Schizosaccharomyces pombe: one gene and its partners. The protein of the gene in region 4 interacts with the protein of the main gene of each other region in a pairwise test. Each region holds a gene or a part of one and is shown on either strand. Other genes may lie near its edges. The genes, in order: met1, mat3-Mc, tif222 and sec18.

Region 1 (5,646 bases), on a different chromosome or scaffold from region 4:
GTTCTATTCCATATTCATTTTTGCAATTAGAGAAACATACTTTAAATAAAAAACAAATTTTTCCACGTCTACGTTTTCGCATTTCTATGAGGATATGTTAAGAATTTAGGCATGCATCTAAACCGAACCATTCAACACAGTGCCTTCAACAAAAATCGCTTTCATTTACATGAATTTCAAAGTATGTAAAAAAAAAAAAAAGTTAAAGCACATAGTAAAGGAATCCTTTTTGATATTTGATAAATCCTTGTTTCAAAGTATTACGCTCGAATAATAAAAAAAATTGAAAAAAAAAGGCAACTAAAGAGACAGTTTCGGTAAAATCCGTCCATTAGCTCCAAATTCCATGTATATTAATTAAAAAAAAAATTAATTACTTTTTTCATTCGTAAGTTATCACCCGTTAATCCATAGAGCCAAAGTCATGTCAATAGAAGAAACAAAAACGTCTATCAAGTGTGATGTTTAATGATTCGAGTAGCTGCGTCCTTAGCAACTTTTGGACGATTAGAAGAAGAAGAGGAAATAGCGGCGTTGGACGTATTTACCGCTTCTGTTTTGGGATTCACATTTTTTTCAGCTTGCTGGATTTTGCTAATGTAATTTTTAACACGCTGCAATTCTTGCATTACGGGTCGCTCACTAGCGTCTATTCCATTTAACTTATAAAAAGAATAGAGAGTAGAATTAATGGCATAGGACATGGTGATATATAACTTTGCTTGTTCCAATTCGGATTTTCCTTCAGCAAGTTCAAAAATTGATTCAGCATCCTTCAATGGTTTAAGAACATCTTCCACGTTATCTAATTGCTTATTTAATCTTTCAAACAGCTCAGAATACTCTGGGTCCATGTTTAACAGACAGAGAGACAGGCTGTGGATATATGCGAATTCTACCTTCTGTCCTCAATTCCAAAATGTAGAAAAACGTCGAAAGCAGGTATGTAACACAATATACCGTGCCCTTGGCTAATTTATCCTCAAATTTTTTGTATATCAGCTACGCAGTTTGGTATCTGCTTTAACAATACATTGAATTGCGATGAGTTTCTCATTCGTCCTATTATTATTGCAATACGCAGGTGATATAAGTAGCAACTGAGTGTAGGTATTGTACTATCAAGTTGTATTGTTATTTATTGCAAATACAACTTATAATTGTGTAAGGAATGAGGTTTAGCAGTAACTCTATTTACGTTGTTTAGATGATTTGGATTTTAATAGATTATTGTTAAAATTAATATCAACATCGTATCATCTGCGGTGCGATATGTAAATGGAACATGTGAACATATAGTGACGTGTGACGCAATACAGTATAGCATAGTATATTGTTGTGTTGTTGACAATTTGAACTTTAGTTTACCATGTTTAACGGAATATTAAAAATACGATGTAACTCACTATTCGCTTAAAAGTTAGTTCTAATTTTTCAAGGCTACACTTGTTCGCTTGACTCAAAAAGTCGATTCGCCTCTTGAAATATCTTTAGAAAAAAAGAAAAGAAAACTCGCCGTCAACAGAGAGTTCACCCATGCATGAAGAAAATGTAAAGTTATGAATACGGAAAATATGCGTTTAGCGCTTACAAAAATTCGTTAACGTTAAGGCCTATGTGAGCAACATTATCACTAAACATAATATATATTAACATCTCTGATTTGGCTAGGAGGAAGTATGACATTTACAAGTGGGCCATTTTTTTATTGTGGTTTGTTATTTATATGAGGATTCAGATGTTTGCATTCATACTTAAGTAACGCAGTTCGAAAGCATTTTCTTTTTTTGTGAATATCAAAGCGTACTTCCTTAAAACTTTTTACTCATTATCTTACTAAGCCAAATTTTCCCCAAAGCTAGAGGAAAGCTATCATGCAAGTTAACTTGTTAATTAGCAAAAACTACAGTGACTAAGGGACTCGTCATGTACTAACTAGCAAGGTTATTTTTGTACTATATCGTGCAATAACGATGCCTTGATAGAAATATTTTATGAGCTCTACCGCTGGTACTTTACCTGGTTTAAAGAAGTATGGTTATTGGTTGATTACCGTATTCCGCAAAAAAATTTTAACGATCAATCATTTTTGCAGCAAATTGCGCCATCATTTGGTGATTGATGTATGCAGTCATATAAAGTGTAGGCAAGACCTCAAACGCTCATCAAGCGAAAAGAACAAGGAAGGAGGTCGGATAACGGGTTGTTGTAATACGTAAAGAGGATTTAAAGCGATATTCGGAAGTACAAAATTTATTTATTGTTTTCATTATCGTTGAAAATCTTTATTCAATTTACCGAGGTTTAACGACCACTGCACAATTGTCTTTCTCTACAAGTTAATCAATCAGTTTAATAGTGTTGCAATCAATTGCTCGATTGCTTCGTAGAAAGAATTAAAATTTGTAACTTAAGCTAAAGGCTAAATTGTTGGTTTATGAGATATTTCTTTCCTTTCTTTCCCGCATTTTTGCGTAGAACAACAAAGTCTGGTTTTTGCAGTACTTCAGCCAGCAGCTCTTCTTCTCCACCAAGACAATCCAAAACGAAGTGACTAAAATTGTGAAAAATTGAAGTGAAAATATATATATTGGAAAATAAGATTGACGCAATATTTGGAGATTAAAAAAAAATTTTGGGCAAAAACCTATTCTCTACCAAGTACACCTGAGTTAACCTATTAGAAACTACTACAATGATTGTTTCCTGGTCCTTGAAAGACGCCGTTGTTGTAGTCGTTGGTTCAGGAAAAAATGCTTACCGACGGGTGAATTTATGTTTAAGTGAAAATTCTTCTAAAATTTTTTGGTTTTGTCGCAGCTCCGCTGATGGTGGATTTGACGTTGGTCATCTTCAGCTTGACGCAAAAAAATCGGATGCTATTGAAATTCTTCCCATTTCTGAATTTGATCCCGTTCGTTCATTAACGACGCTGGGAAAGGAGGAGACAGATTTTTTGGTGGATGCTGTTTTCGTGTCAGAGTCCAACCACCATGAAAAGGAAATTTTACATCGTACGTGCAAAAGGTACCGAATCCCATTAAACATCATTGATAATCCTTCTTTGTGCTCCTTTACTCTACCAGCTACGTGGTCAGAACCACCTCTTCAAATTTCTTTAAGTACTTCATCAAATGGTTGTCGTTTAGCTCAAAGGCTGTTGAGACACGTGGTGAGTAGCCTTCCTTCCGGTATGCCAGAAGCCATTGAGCGTTTTGGCCGAGTGCGAGCGATCACTAAAACTCCAGAAAAAAAACAGTGGATCAATCATGTTAGTGATTTTTGGCCCCTCGAGAAGTTGGTTCGGATGACAGAGGACGATCTTCTTGCCATAGTTTCTGACAACTTCTCTCTTCCACTCTCATCAAGCCAATCTTCTTCACTTGCCAACTCCTATGAAAGTTTATCAACCACCTTGGACAAGCCTTCATTGACGCTTGACCCTGAGGCTTTTCCTACTCATAAGCGAGGTTCAATAGCTTTAATTGGAAGTGGACCTGGCTCTCCTGATTTACTTACTGTTGCTGCCAGAAAGGCTATAATGAAAGCCGATTATGTACTAGCCGACAAGCTGGTACCAGAAGCGGTATTACAGTTAATTCCAAGGCATACTCCACTATTTATTGCTAGAAAATTTCCTGGAAATGCGGATAAGGCACAAGATGAACTTCACCAGGTTGCTTTTGATGCTTTATCTAGAGGTGATTATGTTGTCCGTTTGAAGCAAGGTGATCCTTATATTTATGGGCGAGGCGGTGAAGAGTATCTATTCTTTACACAACACGGTTATGTACCAACGGTTATTCCTGGCATCAGTAGTGCTTTGATGGCCCCTATCTCTGCTGGTATTCCCGTTACACATCGTGGAGTGGCCGATCAATTTCTTGTGTGTACTGGAACTGGTCAAAAGGGTTCGATGCCTAAAATACCTTCTTTTGTCCCTACACAGACCACAGTTTTCCTAATGGCTTTACACCGACTAGAAATTCTTGTGCAAGCACTAATTGAAAGCGGTTGGCCTAGAGTGTTACCGGTTTGTATAGCTGAGCGCGTCTCTTGCCCTGATCAAAGGTTCATTTTCTCTACTTTGGAAGACGTTGTGGAAGAATACAACAAGTACGAGTCTCTCCCCCCTGGTTTGCTGATTACTGGATACAGTTGTAATACCCTTCGCAACACCGCGTAACTATCTATATGAATTATTTTCCCTTTATTATATGTAGTAGGTTCGTCTTTAATCTTCCTTTAGCAAGTCTTTTACTGTTTTCGACCTCAATGTTCATGTTCTTAGGTTGTTTTGGATAATATGCGGTCAGTTTAATCTTCGTTGTTTCTTCTTAAAATATTTATTCATGGTTTAATTTTTGGTTTGTACTTGTTCAGGGGCCAGTTCATTATTTACTCTGTTTGTATACAGCAGTTCTTTTATTTTTAGTATGATTTTAATTTAAAACAATTCTAATGGTCAGTGGAAAGATATTTTGGCTTGATATTTGTGTACTATACTCATCTGTATTACTAGCAACTGCTAAATAAAGATACACAATCATAACCTGTTATTTTAAATGTAAGGATAGATGAACAAATAGATAGAATCAACATATCAGTTTTGTATTAGAACATTTTGATACACGTTTCATGATTCATTTATCCAATATAGTTTTAGTAGAATGATATTCATTTTAGTAGATAATCTAAAAAAGCAAATATTAAACTGCATCAGCCGGGAGTCGAACCCGGAGCTAATGCTTGGAAGGCATTGATGTTACCGCTACACCACTGATGCATTTATTATTTAGAGGTTAAAGAATATGTTATATATTGTTACAAAAGCAGTGTCTTAAGAATGTGTATAATTCTGAAGAAATTTTTTGTTGTTTTGAATAATAAGGAATATTTGGTTTATTGATTTACTGGTTCTATTTGTGAATCGGCTTTTGCTCAAAATACCGAATCTATTTTTTGGATATTTTAAAAAAATCAGCAAACATGCACCAAATGCTTAAATCTCTTCAACAATAATGTTTACAACTCGATAGGAAGTGATTACTCAATACTGCAAACCCTTCTTATAAATTTCTTTTATAAATACCTTTTGTATGAATTAAATCAGTACTCACTTCTATGCTAAATACTGAATATTCTCCATATTAAAATATTCTCAATCATTTACAATTCATGCCAAACCCCAATAGGTTTCTAAATTTTTTATTTATAAAAAAGAAAGGAGATACAAAAACTCTAGGATCTCAGGAAGATAGTTTCAATTTCAGGTTTTTATCATCCATAAAAGTTTTATAATTTTTCAATAGAATAAATACAATCCCAAGCTCATCAAACTAAAAGTTAAGACGAGCATTAACAATACATGCCCAATTTTCCAATAAAAACAAAAACAGTAGTTTTTTACCCCATGCTTAATCAGTATCACTATAAACATCTTCTTCAAGCTTACATCCCCATAAATTATCTTCCAAATCCGATAGTTCATCATCCTCTTCTAAAAATAATGGTAGAGCAGGCACTCCTTCAGCAAGAGCATGACTTCGTGGGTTCTCTACATACTTGGAAATTTTCAAATATTTTTCAGAATCAGTTCCTTCATACAAACTAATTGCTTTAGTCCCCTTTTTTGCAAAAATACTG
Region 2 (4,083 bases), on a different chromosome or scaffold from region 4:
AGGTAACTGATAATTCCATCAAAATGTCTATCCGGGTAAGAAGAACTTTTATTTATTTATTTGCCAACTACTGTTAGATATTTTTGAGCAAGTTATTTTATTTTAACTTAAAAATATGTTTCCAGTTTTCAAAAAAATTATATTAAAGCGCCTAGCGATTGATGTCAGTGAAATATTTGTAGTGAATGTGTTGAGAAAAACTGTACAAATGATCACGTTTAATAGGTAAAACAATTCTAATTTATTAATTTACTATATACTCAATATCAGGTTATAATTTGAACATTATAGTTGTTGCTAAATGATGATATCGTTATGTTGGCAAAACGATTGCTTTTTTTGTTTAAAACTATTCTAAACTGCTTTTAAAAACACAAAATGCGCATTTTTTCCCAAAAGACAGACTATCGGCCAAACAAACATATTTGGATAACATGGAAACGAACGAGAGAAAACAAAGGAGAAAGACTATACATTTATATTACAAAAAAATTATTGAAAATAAATAAAAACGAATAAAAAAAACAGCATATTTCGATAGAATCAGGGCAGTAAAATCCATGTATTACTTTATGTAAGGAGATTTTAGGAAGCATCACCCTCTAAAACAGTATGGCATTACAGTGCTTAGAACTACGTTATGTTAGCATAACAGATATAAATCGCAATACATCGTTAATAGAACACACAATAATTACTATAGAATAACTCAACGCAAATGGGGTACACAAAATATTACATTATAATCTTCAGTGAATGTAACTCTAAGAAGCATATTTAAATCAATTTCAAAATTCTTTATTAAATACCATAAATATTACCATTATTATCTTTTAACTTTATTCTTTCTAGGCTGGTACTTATAACCAGGGTACATTTTCTGATGTTGTGCTTTATAAAACTCAGACATCTTAAAATATCGCATACGTACTTCCTTTGATTCGTTTCTCCACATCTCTCCAACCAGCTTGGAAACTTGTGAATTATTGATGGAAGGGTTAGACTTTAATAATGTAGCATGTTTTTCCTTCCTGTATAATATAAAAGCATTAGGGGGTCTCGGAGTACGTTCAGTAGACGTAGTGTCTTTCCGTAAACTCTTCAAAATATAGCCGGGAACTTTACATTGATCCAATGTGAAGGATATTGGTTGAGGTCTTGGCAGTTGTGCAGAATTCCCATCCAACAGGTAGCTTTGTGAGTTAGGAATGAGTATAGGAGTAAAGCCATCAGGAACAAAGTAAGCAGCACCTTTGCCAGTTTCAATTGAATGAAGAGCATCCTTTGTAAGGTATCTTTTAAAACACCAGTCTGGATCTAAAAAGTCGTAGGAAATAGGGGAACCCGCTGATAATTCTTGGTGTGAGTCCATTGTAGTTGTGAGTGCAAGGTAGGTGTAGAGTGTGGAGGGTATTTAACTACTTACAGAACAAAGAAACCCAAAAACAAAGGAACAAAATACACTAAAACACAATAATTTAATCTAAAGCACAATACATACTAATAATGTCAGCAGAAGACCTTTTTACAATTCAAATCCTATGTGATCAAATTGAGTTAAAACTTGCATCCATTGTAATAAATTCTAACATCAAATTACAACTTAAACGTAAAAAAAAGACACAACAATTATAAACTACATATAAGCAGGGTTCAGTAAATTGGGAAGGCGTTTCTGGCTATTAGGTTGTATGGCTATTAAATTAAAGGTTGTATGCTATACAAATGCATATGCATATGCATACAGAAAAATAACTTTTAAAAGCCTACGAGGCTGCCAAGCAAGCACCTGTTTAAGGTGCGCGCGCGGCAGAACTAAAACATTTAAACTGCTGTTTTTAGTAATCCGTTGTTGTATGGGTCCTTATAATTGTGTACTTTTTTTTTTTTAGTTTTATTTAGTTTATAATTTTGTCCGGTTTGTAAACTTACGTAGGCGAAGGAACATGTTATTTGTTTTCCTACTTGTTAATGTGGTATTCATATATATATTTTTTTGATTATTTATGAAATAATTGTGGTTTAAATGGAATTCATTTATGTTGAGGAATTGAAAATGTTGTTAGTTCTTCCTTTTTTGTTTTATTATTATTATTATTATTATTAGTTAATTAGTTTGTTCTTTTTATTGCGATTTATGTCTTTTTTAGAATTTTGCAATCATAGATTTGGTTTTCTTTATAATTTTTGGTGATTGTTTTTGTTTTTATGTTTTATATCATAATGAATTTTTTTGCTGAGTTTAGGTTGGAATATAAATTCCTTTTATTCTTTTAAGTGGAGATGCGTATTTGGGAACTATAAAAATGTCCTACTGGTTGATTTTTTTTGGGTATTTTAAAATTTTATTTTAATCATGTTGGCATTTTTTTGCTGTATGTTTTTGAGGATTTGACATATTGAAATGTTGTATTTCAAAAGATAATTGTTTGCCTTGGTGAAACTTTTCAAACTGTTTTGAAACTTTTAGAAGGTAGTTGTAGTCATATGGATTCGAGTAGGTTTAATATGATGTTTGGAAATGTAGAAAGCTAAGAGGGTTAAATTGTTAAGAAATATGTATAACTATATAACTATTGGGAAGTGAACGTGATGTATTCATTTTTGTTTGTCAGCTTTCTCGATGCCTACATGGTTGTAAACTTTGAACATGTTTGAAAGTTTTTTTGATAATCTTAAGATTTTATTCATGTACTGTAAAGTTAGTTTTTGAATGGGTTTAATTGAATTTTTTATTAGAACTGTTTATTTAAAGAGTGATTTTTGTTAAATAAAGGCTAATATAGTGCTAAATTGCTATGTCCATACCAGCATATTACTATATTTGTAAATGTACATTTGTATTTAAATGTTGTGTGAAATTGAAAGTGAGAAAGTCAATAGACGGCTTGCGAAATATTATTATAAAGTTAGTAGCGTATCTTGGTCATTTGTCTAGGTATTTTTTAGGCTTTTTAATGGATTGGTATGAGTAGAACAGATTTTTATGAGAAGGTTGTTCTGAATTATAATTTTGTTTTTCTATTTCCAAAATACCGCATCAACACTTATTGTCCAGCTTTGCTTCCATTTTAAACTTTTGCCTACTTTTACACAACGGTAATGACATAGTAAGTTATGTAGATCAATACTTCCTTCCGCTTTTTATAATCAACCCATAGTCTATATATTGTATCGTCGGGTTCTCATAAAATTGTATTTGCGCTTTTTCTAAAAGCAAAGATCTTTTAAGTTTAACGATTGGATTTATAATCAGTTTCTTAAAAAACCAGATGTAAACGATTAATCTCAAAAGCGGTGATTTGATTTTTCATACAAAAGAATAGAAATTACTTTAATTACAAATTTAAGAAATTCCACCTTTTTCTATTATTTGCCGTTCTTCCTTTTTCCTGAGCGACTATTATACTTATAAAAATTTTAAAGAAAAGGTTATAAGATGGTGGCCAGCTCTTTTACATTAACATGGTAATGATGAATTCATCTGCATTCTTAAATAATAGAATATAGATGGAAGCATATGAAAACAATCCAATTTTTTGATCTACTAGCTAAAGAATTTATACTTATTTTCGCAACGTTGCTTATTAAAAAAAGTCAAGAGTTATACAAATGTATATGCGAATATAAAACATATTACTTCTATATGATTTCTGACTAGATAATGTTGGCTGAAATTTTTAAGATGAATTGGAATAATTGCTAAAAATATGAGTAGGTAAAGACGTAATGGCGATGACCCTGACACTTCTAAAGCAGGGACAAGTCAATTGATGGTTTGGGGTCCTGGGCACCAGTACGAACCGTCTAAGTGACTTATCGAAGAATGCTTACAGAAACTTTGTAGCCTTTGCTCAAATTCACATTTATTTGTCGAGAGAATTGAGTTTCTCGGCAAACCCCAAACTCACGATCAACACATACCAATGCAATTTTTACGGATTTACAAACCAAACTTCTTTGTTTTGTTTGAAGCCAATGTCTATTTTGCAAAATATAAACTCAGAAGCTCTAATTATACCAACGTTGAGCTCAAGACAGATTGAATGCAAAATAACCAGTATGATGCAACATCAAAACGCA
Region 3 (5,025 bases), 3.0 Mb from region 4:
ATGCTGCGTAATGCTTCACTAATCGATCTTGGTATGTACAATCCTAAACGTAGCTTAATTCTAGTGTTAAATTGTTTATAACTTAGTCACAGAGAAACTGAAAATTCACGAGCATTACCCTTGTAGTATTAATCTAAAGAAGTAAAATCTTTGCTATGGAATCCTCTGTCGTCTCTCCATTCTTGAAGGTTTCAAGCATGATTATTCAGACTAGTTCGTAGCATGCGTATATAATAATAAATTTCACTATTAGCTTACAAGTTAACGCTCTAAATCTGGATAAATAAACACTGTGCATCCATCTTGAATACTTCAATAATGACCATTCTCCATAGCTTTTTATGACTTATATTATGAACATGACCAAAAATATAATAATAAATACAATATGGACTTCATTTTAAAATTCCAATGTTTTTTAAACGAATTTGACGCTCAGCTCTTTCTTTTTTACGTCGCACCGTGGTTTTATGCTTCCTACTTTTAATATGGACATTGAACGCATCTTCTCCTATTACAGTGAATGGATCACCCCGCTTGTCTAAACATTCCTCGCAAACGAACTTCTTTTTCTGAGATTGGCGACCGTTCATTATGGAGAGATAATCTCTGGCTTTTTCGAAAGCGTGCTGATCATCAGCAGATGGAGCAATGGCATCGCCATTATAAAAAAAATATTGAAATACTCTACAAGCCTTTTCAACTTGCTCTTCCCAATTGTTCAAGTCCGTAGTGTTTGTGGTGGAAAATAGAATTGAAGAAGGGGATAAATCTTGTTGAGCCAAACACATCGGGAGGAATCGACTTTGGATCCATTTCTTCTGAGATTTTGCATACTGTCTAGTAGAAACCTTCATTCGTTCTAAACAATCATTAAAGACTATATCCGAAGGCGCTTCAAACCATGGCATGAATTCTTTAAATCCAATACATTGCCAAATCCCACGGGTGAAATCAGGAGAAAATTTTTCACTTTCAGCAAGACTCTTCATGCTTTTTATTTCATCAACCAATCCATGGCTTAGCATTTTGTCAACACGTTTATCAAGTCGCGGCATTAAGACTAAAGAATCTGCGAACGCCCAAAATATTAGAGATTTGTATCGAAGTTTAGAGCCACTTGACTTCATTTTTTGCTCAGAATAAATTTCAGATGGCGGTCGACCGGTGTGAAAATATATCTCTAGGCTTCTTCGAATTTTACGAGTATCCCGAGGATGCCATTGCTCAGCCATCACGGGATCTATCTTTTTTAAATACGAAAGCATAGCAGATGGATCATCATCCAAGATATGAGAGTCCGGATGGGGTGGCTTACTAGGTGATGAATCGTTCGTCAATTTATCAATAGCCGACAAAGTAGTATCTTCAAACAAAAGGGACTGCAAATAATAATGAGTCCCTCCAACCACAATAGGTATCTTTCCTTGACTGTGAATCTCGTCAATTACGCGGGAGGCATCTCGTTCAAACTCGGGAACACTGTATTCTTTGTCAAAGTTCAAGAAGGACATCAAGCGATGATGAACATTCTCTTGCTCTTCCACAGTAATTTTATTGGTTATAGTATCAAATCCCCGATAAATTTGCATCGAGTCAGCATTAATGACTTGGCTTCCAAACCGTTTCGCCAGCTGAACTGCTAAATCCGACTTACCAGCTCCTGTAGTACCGATGACAACGCAAAGGGGCTTTAACATTTTATAAGATATAGATTTTTACCTTATCTTCAATAGATTACACACCGAATCAAGCTTAGACTAACAAATCCATTTCCCAAATTTTCCCAAGCAAGCCTGGCTCTTTACCAACTGATTTTACCTTACATTTTGTTTTGGTTCACTATCCCCGTTCCTTTATTGCGGCGTCAACTTCGGTATATGCTTTAACGATGTTTTAATTACTGTAAACAAGTTATTACATTTTTACAGCGTTCGTATTTGTTCGTTATTAACATGTAAACACTACTTGTCGTTTCCCATCGCCTGAAAATGTCAACTATTAATGTTGAACATACCTATCCGGCTGTAAGTAGCTTGATAGCAGACTTAAAGTCAAGAAAGGTACAAGGCCCCTTTGCAGTTGCCGTTGAAACGGCGCTGGTAATGAGACAAGTGATTTCTCAAACTCGCTGGTCAACAGTTGATCAATTAATTGATACAGTCCGTGCTGTTGGATCTACTCTTGTCAAGGCTCAACCTACTGGTATGTATTTTGAATCATATTCTTTTATTGTGTTACATGCTAAACCGTGAAGAATTTTCTTGTGGAAATATTATTAGAAGAATTTTACGCTTAATCCGCGAAGAATATCAAGAATTATTAAAGACTGCTGATGAAAATGAGAAGTTAATCGTTTCTTCATCGAACTCTTCTAGCCCTTCTCAAAAAAGAGACATTCCCTCTAACGAAAAATTGGTTCAAAGTCACGAACCTGTTTCAGTTCAGATGTACTCTTCTATGCTTAATTTATTAGGTCGTCCTACTCTTGAGTCTCCCACACATAGTAAAACCGTCGGTGACAGTAGGGTCACCGGTGGCATGGATATGCGCGCTGTGATCATATCTGGCATCCAAGATGTAATCGATGAGTTGGACAAGATTAATACTGATATTGAAGTTCAATCAATGGACCATTTGCATTCAAAGTATGGTGTCATGCTAAACATCTTATCAGTTAGCTAACCTTTTTAGTGAAATTATTTTAACTCAGGGTTGCTCAAAAACTGTTGAAGCTTTTCTCCGTTTTGCCGCAAAGAAACGCAAATTTTCAGTGATTGTTGCAGAAGGATTTCCCAATAACCAAAAAGGTTCTCATGCCATGGCAAAGCGATTAGCTCAGGCTGGTATTGATACAACTGTTATATCTGATGCTACGATTTTTGCAATCATGTCACGCGTGAATAAAGTTATACTTGGTACGCATGCAATCTTGGGTAACGGAGGATTGGTAACCTATAGTGGAGCCCAATTAGTTGCTCAGGCTGCCAGGCACCATGCTACTCCCGTAGTGGTGTGTTCGGGTATTTATAAGCTTAGCCCTGTTTACCCTTATGACTTAGAATCCATTATCCAACTGTCTTCACCTGATAAAATTATGTCCTTTAATGAAGGTGATCTAATAAGCCGCGCTGAAATTTTAAACCCTTACTATGATTACATCCCACCAGACCTAGTAGATCTGTTTATTACCAATTTGGGTGGCTATCCTCCTTCCTACCTTTATCGTATTATGAATGATACTTATGATGCAAGCGATACAATTCTTTAAAGAGTTTGCATTCTATTTTCTCTTGGAAAATTGATTACCTATTAAATCAAGTTTATCAAATTTCTTTACACGTGTTTAGGTAAATATTAAAATTTTGGAATAAATAACATGGGTTACATTAGATTGAATTTTTTTAACTGTGGGTTTCTGTTGCAAGTAATACAGGCAATTAACTCAGCAAAATAAAACTTTGAAATTAAAGTAAATGGACTATGAATTTTAACGAGTTTCCTTTCATTGTCTAATGATTTGAAATATGCAGTAATTAAAAAAACTAGGGCCACTAATATACAAACCAATTTGATTACTTTTCCCTTCGTAAACTGCTTTGCACTTCCATCTCAATGTCTTTGGGACTTGCTTGTCCTCGAAGCTCTCTCATCGTAAGGCCAACAAACCACTTTATAAGGGAAGTTTTACCATTTTTCAACTCTTCAAATTGTTTTGAATGTTTACTAAGAACACTTTCTACACAAGCTTTTATTTTCTCGGAATCGCCAATGGTACCAAAATTTTTTTCTTGGATGAGAGTAGATATAGGTTTCGATGAAGGTGATTTTATCAATGAACGAAGGAAGAGTTTAGCAGATGCAGCTGTAAGTTTCTTCTTGGAAACAAGAAGTACAATGTCAGCCAATTGCAAAGGAGGAACGATATTGATGTTAGGGGAAGGGTCAATTTCACGAACTTTTCCTACTAGTTCCACAGTGATCCAGTATGGAAGGGTACGTAAAGCATCCTCTTTCAAAGATTGATTTACATGGCTTATAGAATCGATATGGTGGTACGCATTTCTGTAGTAGTGATAGTATTCCTTCACACTTAATAATGTACGGGCCTCTTTATGACTAATGGCATGAGAACCCGTTGTAAGCTTTTGGAAAAGTTCGTCAGGCAGAGCAGGTAATGATTTTAAGACAGAATTCACATAACTCCGAGAAAGTATGATTGGGGGGATATCGGTTTCAGGAAGAAATAGATAATCGTCGGAGGTTGTCTTATTACGAAGAGGAAATGTTTTACCAGTGATATCGTCGAATCCCCTCGTTTCTGAGGGCCAAGAAACACCCATATTTGCCAAAGAGACTTGTCGGTCCACTTCATGGCGAATTGAATTTACTACATTTCGTACATTTGACAAATTTTTTAATTCAACACGAGCCAACTGAGTACCTAATTGGGGGAAATGGGATATGGATTTCTCTACTGATATCACTCCGTTGTTTTTAAAATGAAGTTCATTTAGATTTTCTGAAGAGATGACTGGCGCGATTGAGACATTAACATCACATCTCATCCCTCCATTTTCCATCAACGCCTCAGATATTCCAGCGAAGCGAACGATGGATTGCAATTTAAACAAGAATGCAGAAACAGTATTGACATCATGAAAGCAAGGTTTAGTGACGATTTCCAATAACGGAGTTCCTGCTCGATTATAATCCAGTAAGATTCGCGATGGATTTTTAGCAGACGTCGATTTTGCAGTATCCTAAATATAAGTTTGTTAAAATACTTTTCAAATCCAGTATATGGAAAGTTGTTTTGACAATGTTTCTTACCTGTTCTAGTTGAATATGTTGTATGGGGATTTGAGTATCTGGAACATTGTCCAAACCAGCCGACAATGGTATAAATCCATTTCTTCCTATAGGAATTTCTTTCTGCGTAATCTGATATCCCGCAGGTAAGTCTGGATAAAAGTAATGCTTTCTGTCGAATTTGCAAACATTCGCTACCTCACAATTCAGTGC
Region 4 (6,173 bases):
TGCTGGCACTGACTCTTACGGAATCTCATTACCCAACCTTGGCATTTTTACTCATATTTTGCGTAACAGCAGAAACGACTTGTCAAATTATTTAAAAAAGAGGCCGTACCGCGAAGTAATTGAATCGTCACTATATAATCGCAATGTTTCGGTAGCTTGCAAAAAGAAGAACGAAGCATTTTTTGGTTGGAAGTTTCGACTTTGCGACGCCATAGGAGCCGGACTGGTTGATTCGTTTATGACTACTTGTGGAAGAGCATTCCGTTTAACTAAAAAAGGACTTGAAATGAAGTTTTAAAACACTGTCGTCAGATAATTCACACATATTCGAGAACAATCGGATACGGTACTATTTATTCATATCATACACTTTCATTAATCAATCTTTACCATTTTTTTCCTCCCTTTTTTATTCAAAAGATGAGCATTATTTTATTCGTTCTACATTTCAAACTCGATTAAGACCTAAATTACAATACATTGAATTTTATATTAAAAAACTTATATAGTTATTATGATATCTATTTCGAATCGTTTTTGTTTATTTGCTTAGGTTGCTGTGCCTGCCGTATAGCATTAAAAATTGGCGTAGCCAATTCTGGGTGCAAGTAAAAATATCGTTTGGGTACAGTAGTGCTTTCAAGGTTTGCGAATGGACGACTATTGTTGGTATCAGGGATTTTGAGCTTGTCTAAAGTATATTGGGATAAGCGCTTTTTTCCTAGAATATTAAATGTATTTAAAGATAGCACGTTTCCCTTTAACGTTGCCTCCGAAACATAAGATTTAGCAGCCCAGTGAATTATTGCAGTCGACAAACTAGTAGTAGTACATGCTAACATGTTAATAAATTTGCTTTGGAAATTTTGGTAATCCGATTTCTTGATGAAACATACCCAAGAAAACCATCGACATTCTCGTTCCCAAACTTAAACCTCCTGCATCAAGTAAAAGCATCACTGGAGAAATCATATAAGTTAAACCTAATGATCCAATCGAAAACTTTTTAATGTTTCCTATAGCTTTTTTAAGTGGAGCATCATATACAGCTGCTAGACTAAATGATGTTGAAGCAAACCAGCGTCTTGCACCAAGTAGTATTTCGGAGGGCATATTCATTTTAGAATTAAGTATGTGAGTTGAATGTTACGATTTTTAAATTTCCATGTCCTTTACTATTTATGACTGATGAAATTAAAGATTTAGAATATGAACCGGGTCAATGTGGAGTGGAAATAGCGAATTGGTAAATTGTGCCTCTCAGTATGGGAGTAATGTAGTATGCTTAAATTGTTTACAATGCTTCAAATGATTATTTATGGATAATTGACTATAAAAGGCTATAAAGTTATATTGATAAGCATTCATTTAACAAGATGATTTAATTTTTTTAACGTTACATATAGGTTCGAACATCTTTTAACTTAATATTCATACAGTATTGCGGTGTATTCATTAACTATAATCTATAACGGTATAAAATATAAAAAACCTTGAGAAAATATTCATGACTAAAACGTCTCAGTTATTAAAAAGGTGTCATTGCTATTCCATAGGAATAGCACGGGCCATGGCTTCAACAAAACAGGAAACAACGTCTACATCCTGTTTAGCCGTTTCGGCTATCATAAGAATCTTGGCTACTCCGACATTGACAGCATCAGTACCAGTAAAGTTCTGCAAACGTTGTAATGTATCAGCTCGAACATTGCTGTCTGCAAATGAATCTATTGATTGTATGATGCGGTCCAGTTCAGTAACGTTGGAGACATTAGGAACTGCTATTTCTGCATCAAACGATTGGGTCATATCCATTCGAGAGAGCATAGTACGTTCAGAGGTAGTTGCTAAAATAAGCAATCGATGACCCTTGGGGGGTTGCTTTTTGAAAAGAACCATAAGTGTTTGAAGTAAGGTGTTAGAAAATCGAGGTCCGATTGGTACCCAATCAATAATACGTTCAATCTCATCTACTACAATGACGCTAAGAGGACTTTTGTAGCTGTCTTCGAACACACGATTGACATGAGCTACTCGAGCGTTTTCATTCATTCCTACCATGGACTCAGCGGAAACGAGCTTAACAAATGGAAATTCAGAACCAAGGGCTATCGTGGCAGCCAATGCAGTTTTCCCTGACGCTATAGGGCCTGACAATAATACACTGACCAAACGTGTACGTTCGGAGTTTTTAACTTGTTGAACAAATAATTTTCCTTCGGTAATTATTTCTTCAATGTGTTTACCAAAATTGATAATGCCACCTTGCACACGGCTTTCGAGTTCCTCCTCACTCACACCATAAGCTGGTCTTACCTCACTTAAAGCATTCAAAAAGTCGTTACGATTCACCTTGATATTTTCCAAATTACCTGAAACAGCGGCAGTGGTTCCCACCTTGATGTGGCGATAAAAAGCAAAACTTGAAGCACTCTTGATTAATCCAGCAATTTCAGCACCAGAAAAGTTTTTAGTAAGAGATGCTAGCTCTTCCATGTCAACATCATTCTCTAAAATACCATTTGAAGCCATACGGGACGTATGGATTTTCAGAATCTGCAAACGGCCGTGTTCATCTGGAAGTGAAATTTCCATATGAACCTCAAGACGACCTGGACGCAAAAGAGCTTCATCGATCATGTCTTTTCTGTTAGTCATACCAATAACAAGGATATTATTCAGTTGATCAACGCCATCCATCTTAGCCAAAAGCTGATTAACGACCTGATCGCCAACACCTGTATCACCACCAGAACTTCCTCTCTTTTTACATATGGCATCTAATTCATCGAAGATAATAATATGAAGACCCGATTCCTCTCCGCGATCGCGATACTCACGTTCAGCATCGGCGAATAATTTACGAACGTTTTCTTCACTTTGACCGACGTATTTGTTTAGAATTTCAGGACCATTAACGATTTTCGGTTCACGGGCATTTAGCATTTTACCAATTTGTCGAGCAATTAATGTCTTACCAGTACCTGGAGGGCCATATAAGAGAATACCCTTAACATGATTAATACCCAGCTTTTCAACCATGCCAGGAGGAAAGAGACGAGAGGCAAATGCTCGACGGAAAATAGCACTGAACTCTGAGTCAAGACCACCAATGCCCATGTCCTCAAATTTAAAGCCTGGCTGAAGAATGGCATTAGAGGCAGGTCTTGTCATGCTAGCTTTCAAACGCAACGCAGAGTGAGCGGCTTTAAAAAATTGGATTTCGGTCTGGGAAGTCAAGAGACCACGTTTGCTGGTATCTGCAGTATTTTCGGCATCTTGATTCTCACCAATTAAAAGATCGACACAAGATATAGTACGGACGGTTGCCTTTATATTGTAAGAACGGAAATCGAAAACAATTTTCTGGCCCGGAGAAAAAACTTGGCTCTGATAACTAGAGCAAAATAACTTGGCCATCTCTTCACCGTCGAAAGGCTCATTAGTGGTGCGATTTCTATTTTGAAAGTCTACCTCCAAAGTCATACTATGAAGATAAGGAGCTCCATGAGGACCATATGGATCATAGTCGGCAACATGAACCTGCTGATTTAGCGACCAAGAAGCCCATTCGCGATGGGGCTGGGAAGCGCCAAGACAACCCTGTGGAAAGCCAGGAACGGGTTTAGTGCTGAACACACGAGAGTTGTCTACAATAATGTACTGCTGCTTAAAGTCCATGGGAGAAACAATGATACAATTGGTTAAAGCATCTTCGGTAGAAGTCGCCTTGACGATCCGAAAAGGACCTGAAGGGCGTCTAACATCCATATGTGTAGGCAGCGGTGGTTTTTGCTCAAAGGGGCTCATATTGGGTGTAGGACCAGCACTGTTATGGGAATAACTGCCACTTAGTGGTTTCCTCATAGGTTGCTCTGGTGTCCCTTTATTGGACATGAATGGAAGTTTCCATCTTGAGTCCATTGTTGAGTGCTTTGTTAATGGAAAATCGTTTTCAGTAAACGTAACGCTTTCCACCTACTACTAAAACATAATATAACGGAGTACGAAATACAGATTAGCGAATAGTGAAGTATACGTTTACCGTTTGATTGCGTAATCATAATTAAGCCATAAATTTCCAATGTCGTTATATTTTAGGACGAGATGTAGTGAAGCCATGTTACTTCCCAATTTACATTTGGCAAAAAAATTTTTTTCTCTCTCTTCTTGCAAAAGCCTCTTTACGCGTGCAATTATTGTAGCATGCAAGTGACTATTTTTTTAGCAGCCTTCTAAGATAGGAAAACTGTTTCCAATAAGACAAACCTTCTTGCAGACTGTTGTTGTCGTTTATTGAAGGGATTTCCCCTCCCCCTTTTGTATATTTATATATTTTATTTTATTTATAAATTTATTTTATTCATTATTAAACGTATAATAACGTCAAAAAATTTTATGTGTCATGAGTGATAATGTCTTCGCTTTAAGAATCGGTAGCTTAATGACATCCGTATTGGAAAGATCTCGCTTCTTGTTTAGCTTAGCTATACGACCGCTATAGACGTTGCCGCTTGACGCTAATTGCCGAGATTCGCATCATTCTTTTGAGCTTCACTTTACTAACCGAATACGGGTGATCATCCACTCAAAATATTAAATAAATAAGAAATAAAAAAAAAGTGTTACTTAAAAAAGAGTGTGTTTGGAGGAAGTGTTAGCAAGTTTTGATAGTAGGAGTAGAAAAAAAAATTTTCAGCGCCTCGTCTCCTTAAAAAATTTACACACCTTTCTAATGAATGTTATTGAGGCAAAGTCTTGAATTTTGATTTCCATTTCATCAATGATTAGCGTACCGAGTTTTTGCTGTCGTATAAACGGCCATTGATTTGCTAATGTCACCTTTTTCACATAACGAAACGGATTTCTGTCATACTGTCACAAATTTTTCAATTGGCATGATAACGGTAAATAGACCAAAATCTAGGATTCGCGAATGTTCAAACGCGATTATTAGGGAATGGAATTTTATTCGATATCTCACCTGAGTCACTGTTATTGTCACAAGTGAAGCCAGCCATTTCTTGAATCTGATTGAGGAGAAAGTGAGGTAAGATGGGATGGAGTGTTGATGACTTGGAAGGAAGGTCCCTTACAAATGATTATTTGTTCTTTTACAGGCAAACTAGTTATCCCGAGCTACACTGTCCTAACGTTATCCGCAATTCATTCTTACAAAGCTAAGGGAAACGGGGGCAAAGACTGAGTAAGGCGGCAGCGCACTTGCAAGTTTCGCAGGTACTTTAGCTATCCCCACCTCCCCTGATGTTGGCAGTGACTCGGATATTCTAGGCCTGCTTAGAAAGTGGTCATTTTCAGATTTCAGATTCAATACGCTTGCTCTTTTTGACACATAAGTTACTTCAAGTACCAATCGTCTGGCGAATATCATATGGTATATAGAAAATCGACCTTAATTTCATAAACTTTCGGCTTTTCCCACCCTTATCGAAGCTAGCTTGTGAAGGAGCCAATTATATTGTATTTCTCTCCTGGTTCACGCCTTATGATTTATCATTTTTCTAAATTGGTAGTGTAGTTATTTAATATATTTTTTGATATATATAAGCTGGGTTGAGGAAACAAGCTTCGCTCTCAAAATTTGGTGAGCAAAGCAAAGCCAAGCCAAGCCAAGCAGAATAGAGCAGAAACGAGACGGGGCAAAAAGCAAAAGTTGCTTGGAGCATAAGTAGAAACACTTATTGGCAAAACTATATAAGAAAAATATCTAAGCCGAGCTGCGAAATAATTCCGTTTCATGACTGGAATTTTTTTCTTGTAAACGAGCAATTCTTCGAGGGCAACGTGCTTGTGTTTATTTGCCCATGCTGTCATTGAGGACTCCTGGGTTTCAAGGTAAGCTAAATAAAGGGAAGCGAAGCAAGACAAAATATTATATGGTACTAGTACTAGCGATAGTACAACTGCTTGAGAAAAATACAAATAAAATGAACGAATATTACCGAACTATAACTAAACTAAATTCAAATGATGTAGAAATACGAAATTTTGTTATTACTGAATATTTTCTTTATTTTGTTTATATTTTATTTTATTTTGTTTTGTTTTGTTTTGTTTCCTTTTAATTTTCCTTCCTTTTTATTGGAAAAAAAAAAAGAAAACAAAACAAAATAAATATCTTGGAATGCATAATTGTACATCGTTACTAACAA

Evidence for each region.
Region 1: the proteins of sec18 (region 4) and met1 interact in a two-hybrid assay, tested with the Schizosaccharomyces pombe proteins (one large-scale study listed by BioGRID).
Region 2: the proteins of sec18 (region 4) and mat3-Mc interact in a two-hybrid assay, tested with the Schizosaccharomyces pombe proteins (one large-scale study listed by BioGRID).
Region 3: the proteins of sec18 (region 4) and tif222 interact in a two-hybrid assay, tested with the Schizosaccharomyces pombe proteins (one large-scale study listed by BioGRID).

Annotation. Positions count from the first base shown.
Region 1 is NC_003421.2:2,036,492-2,042,137, reverse strand, and holds met1 (uroporphyrin methyltransferase), read left to right. Parts: upstream 1-2,167; 5' UTR 2,168-2,695; coding exon 2,696-4,186; 3' UTR 4,187-4,468; downstream 4,469-5,646. Other genes in the region: Cut3-interacting exosome subunit Cti1, read right to left, coding at 453-854; histone lysine methyltransferase Set5, read right to left, coding at 5,418-5,646.
Region 2 is NC_003423.3:2,130,138-2,134,220, reverse strand, and holds mat3-Mc (mating type M-specific HMG-box DNA-binding transcription factor Mc at silenced MAT3 locus), read right to left. Parts: upstream 1,373-4,083; coding exon 827-1,372; downstream 1-826. Other genes in the region: mat3-Mi (mating type M-specific polypeptide Mi at silenced MAT3 locus), read left to right, coding at 1,507-1,635. UniProt on the Schizosaccharomyces pombe protein: Mating type proteins are sequence specific DNA-binding proteins that act as master switches in yeast differentiation by controlling gene expression in a cell type-specific fashion. Silenced copy of mat-Mc at mat3-M.
Region 3 is NC_003424.3:1,670,622-1,675,646, reverse strand, and holds tif222 (translation initiation factor eIF2B beta subunit), read left to right. Parts: upstream 1-1,970; 5' UTR 1,971-1,991; coding exon 1,992-2,205; intron 2,206-2,257; coding exon 2,258-2,648; exon of another isoform or gene 2,649-2,666; intron 2,667-2,694; coding exon 2,695-3,271; 3' UTR 3,272-3,450; downstream 3,451-5,025. Other genes in the region: tit1 (tRNA isopentenyltransferase), read right to left, coding at 396-1,700; glutamyl-tRNA amidotransferase beta subunit Gta2, read right to left, coding at 3,576-4,763, 4,834-5,025. UniProt on the Schizosaccharomyces pombe protein: Acts as a component of the translation initiation factor 2B (eIF2B) complex, which catalyzes the exchange of GDP for GTP on the eukaryotic initiation factor 2 (eIF2) complex gamma subunit.
Region 4 is NC_003424.3:4,717,193-4,723,365, forward strand, and holds sec18 (secretory pathway protein Sec18), read right to left. Parts: upstream 3,944-6,173; 5' UTR 3,925-3,943; coding exon 1,546-3,924; 3' UTR 1,321-1,545; downstream 1-1,320. Other genes in the region: mug51 (variant protein kinase 19 family protein), read left to right, coding at 1-298; SPOM_SPAC1834.10C (uncharacterized protein), read right to left, coding at 522-835, 897-1,119; SPOM_SPAC1834.13 (uncharacterized protein), read right to left, coding at 5,156-5,392; pex7 (peroxin-7), read left to right, coding at 5,826-5,856. UniProt on the Schizosaccharomyces pombe protein: Required for vesicle-mediated transport. Catalyzes the fusion of transport vesicles within the Golgi cisternae. Is also required for transport from the endoplasmic reticulum to the Golgi stack.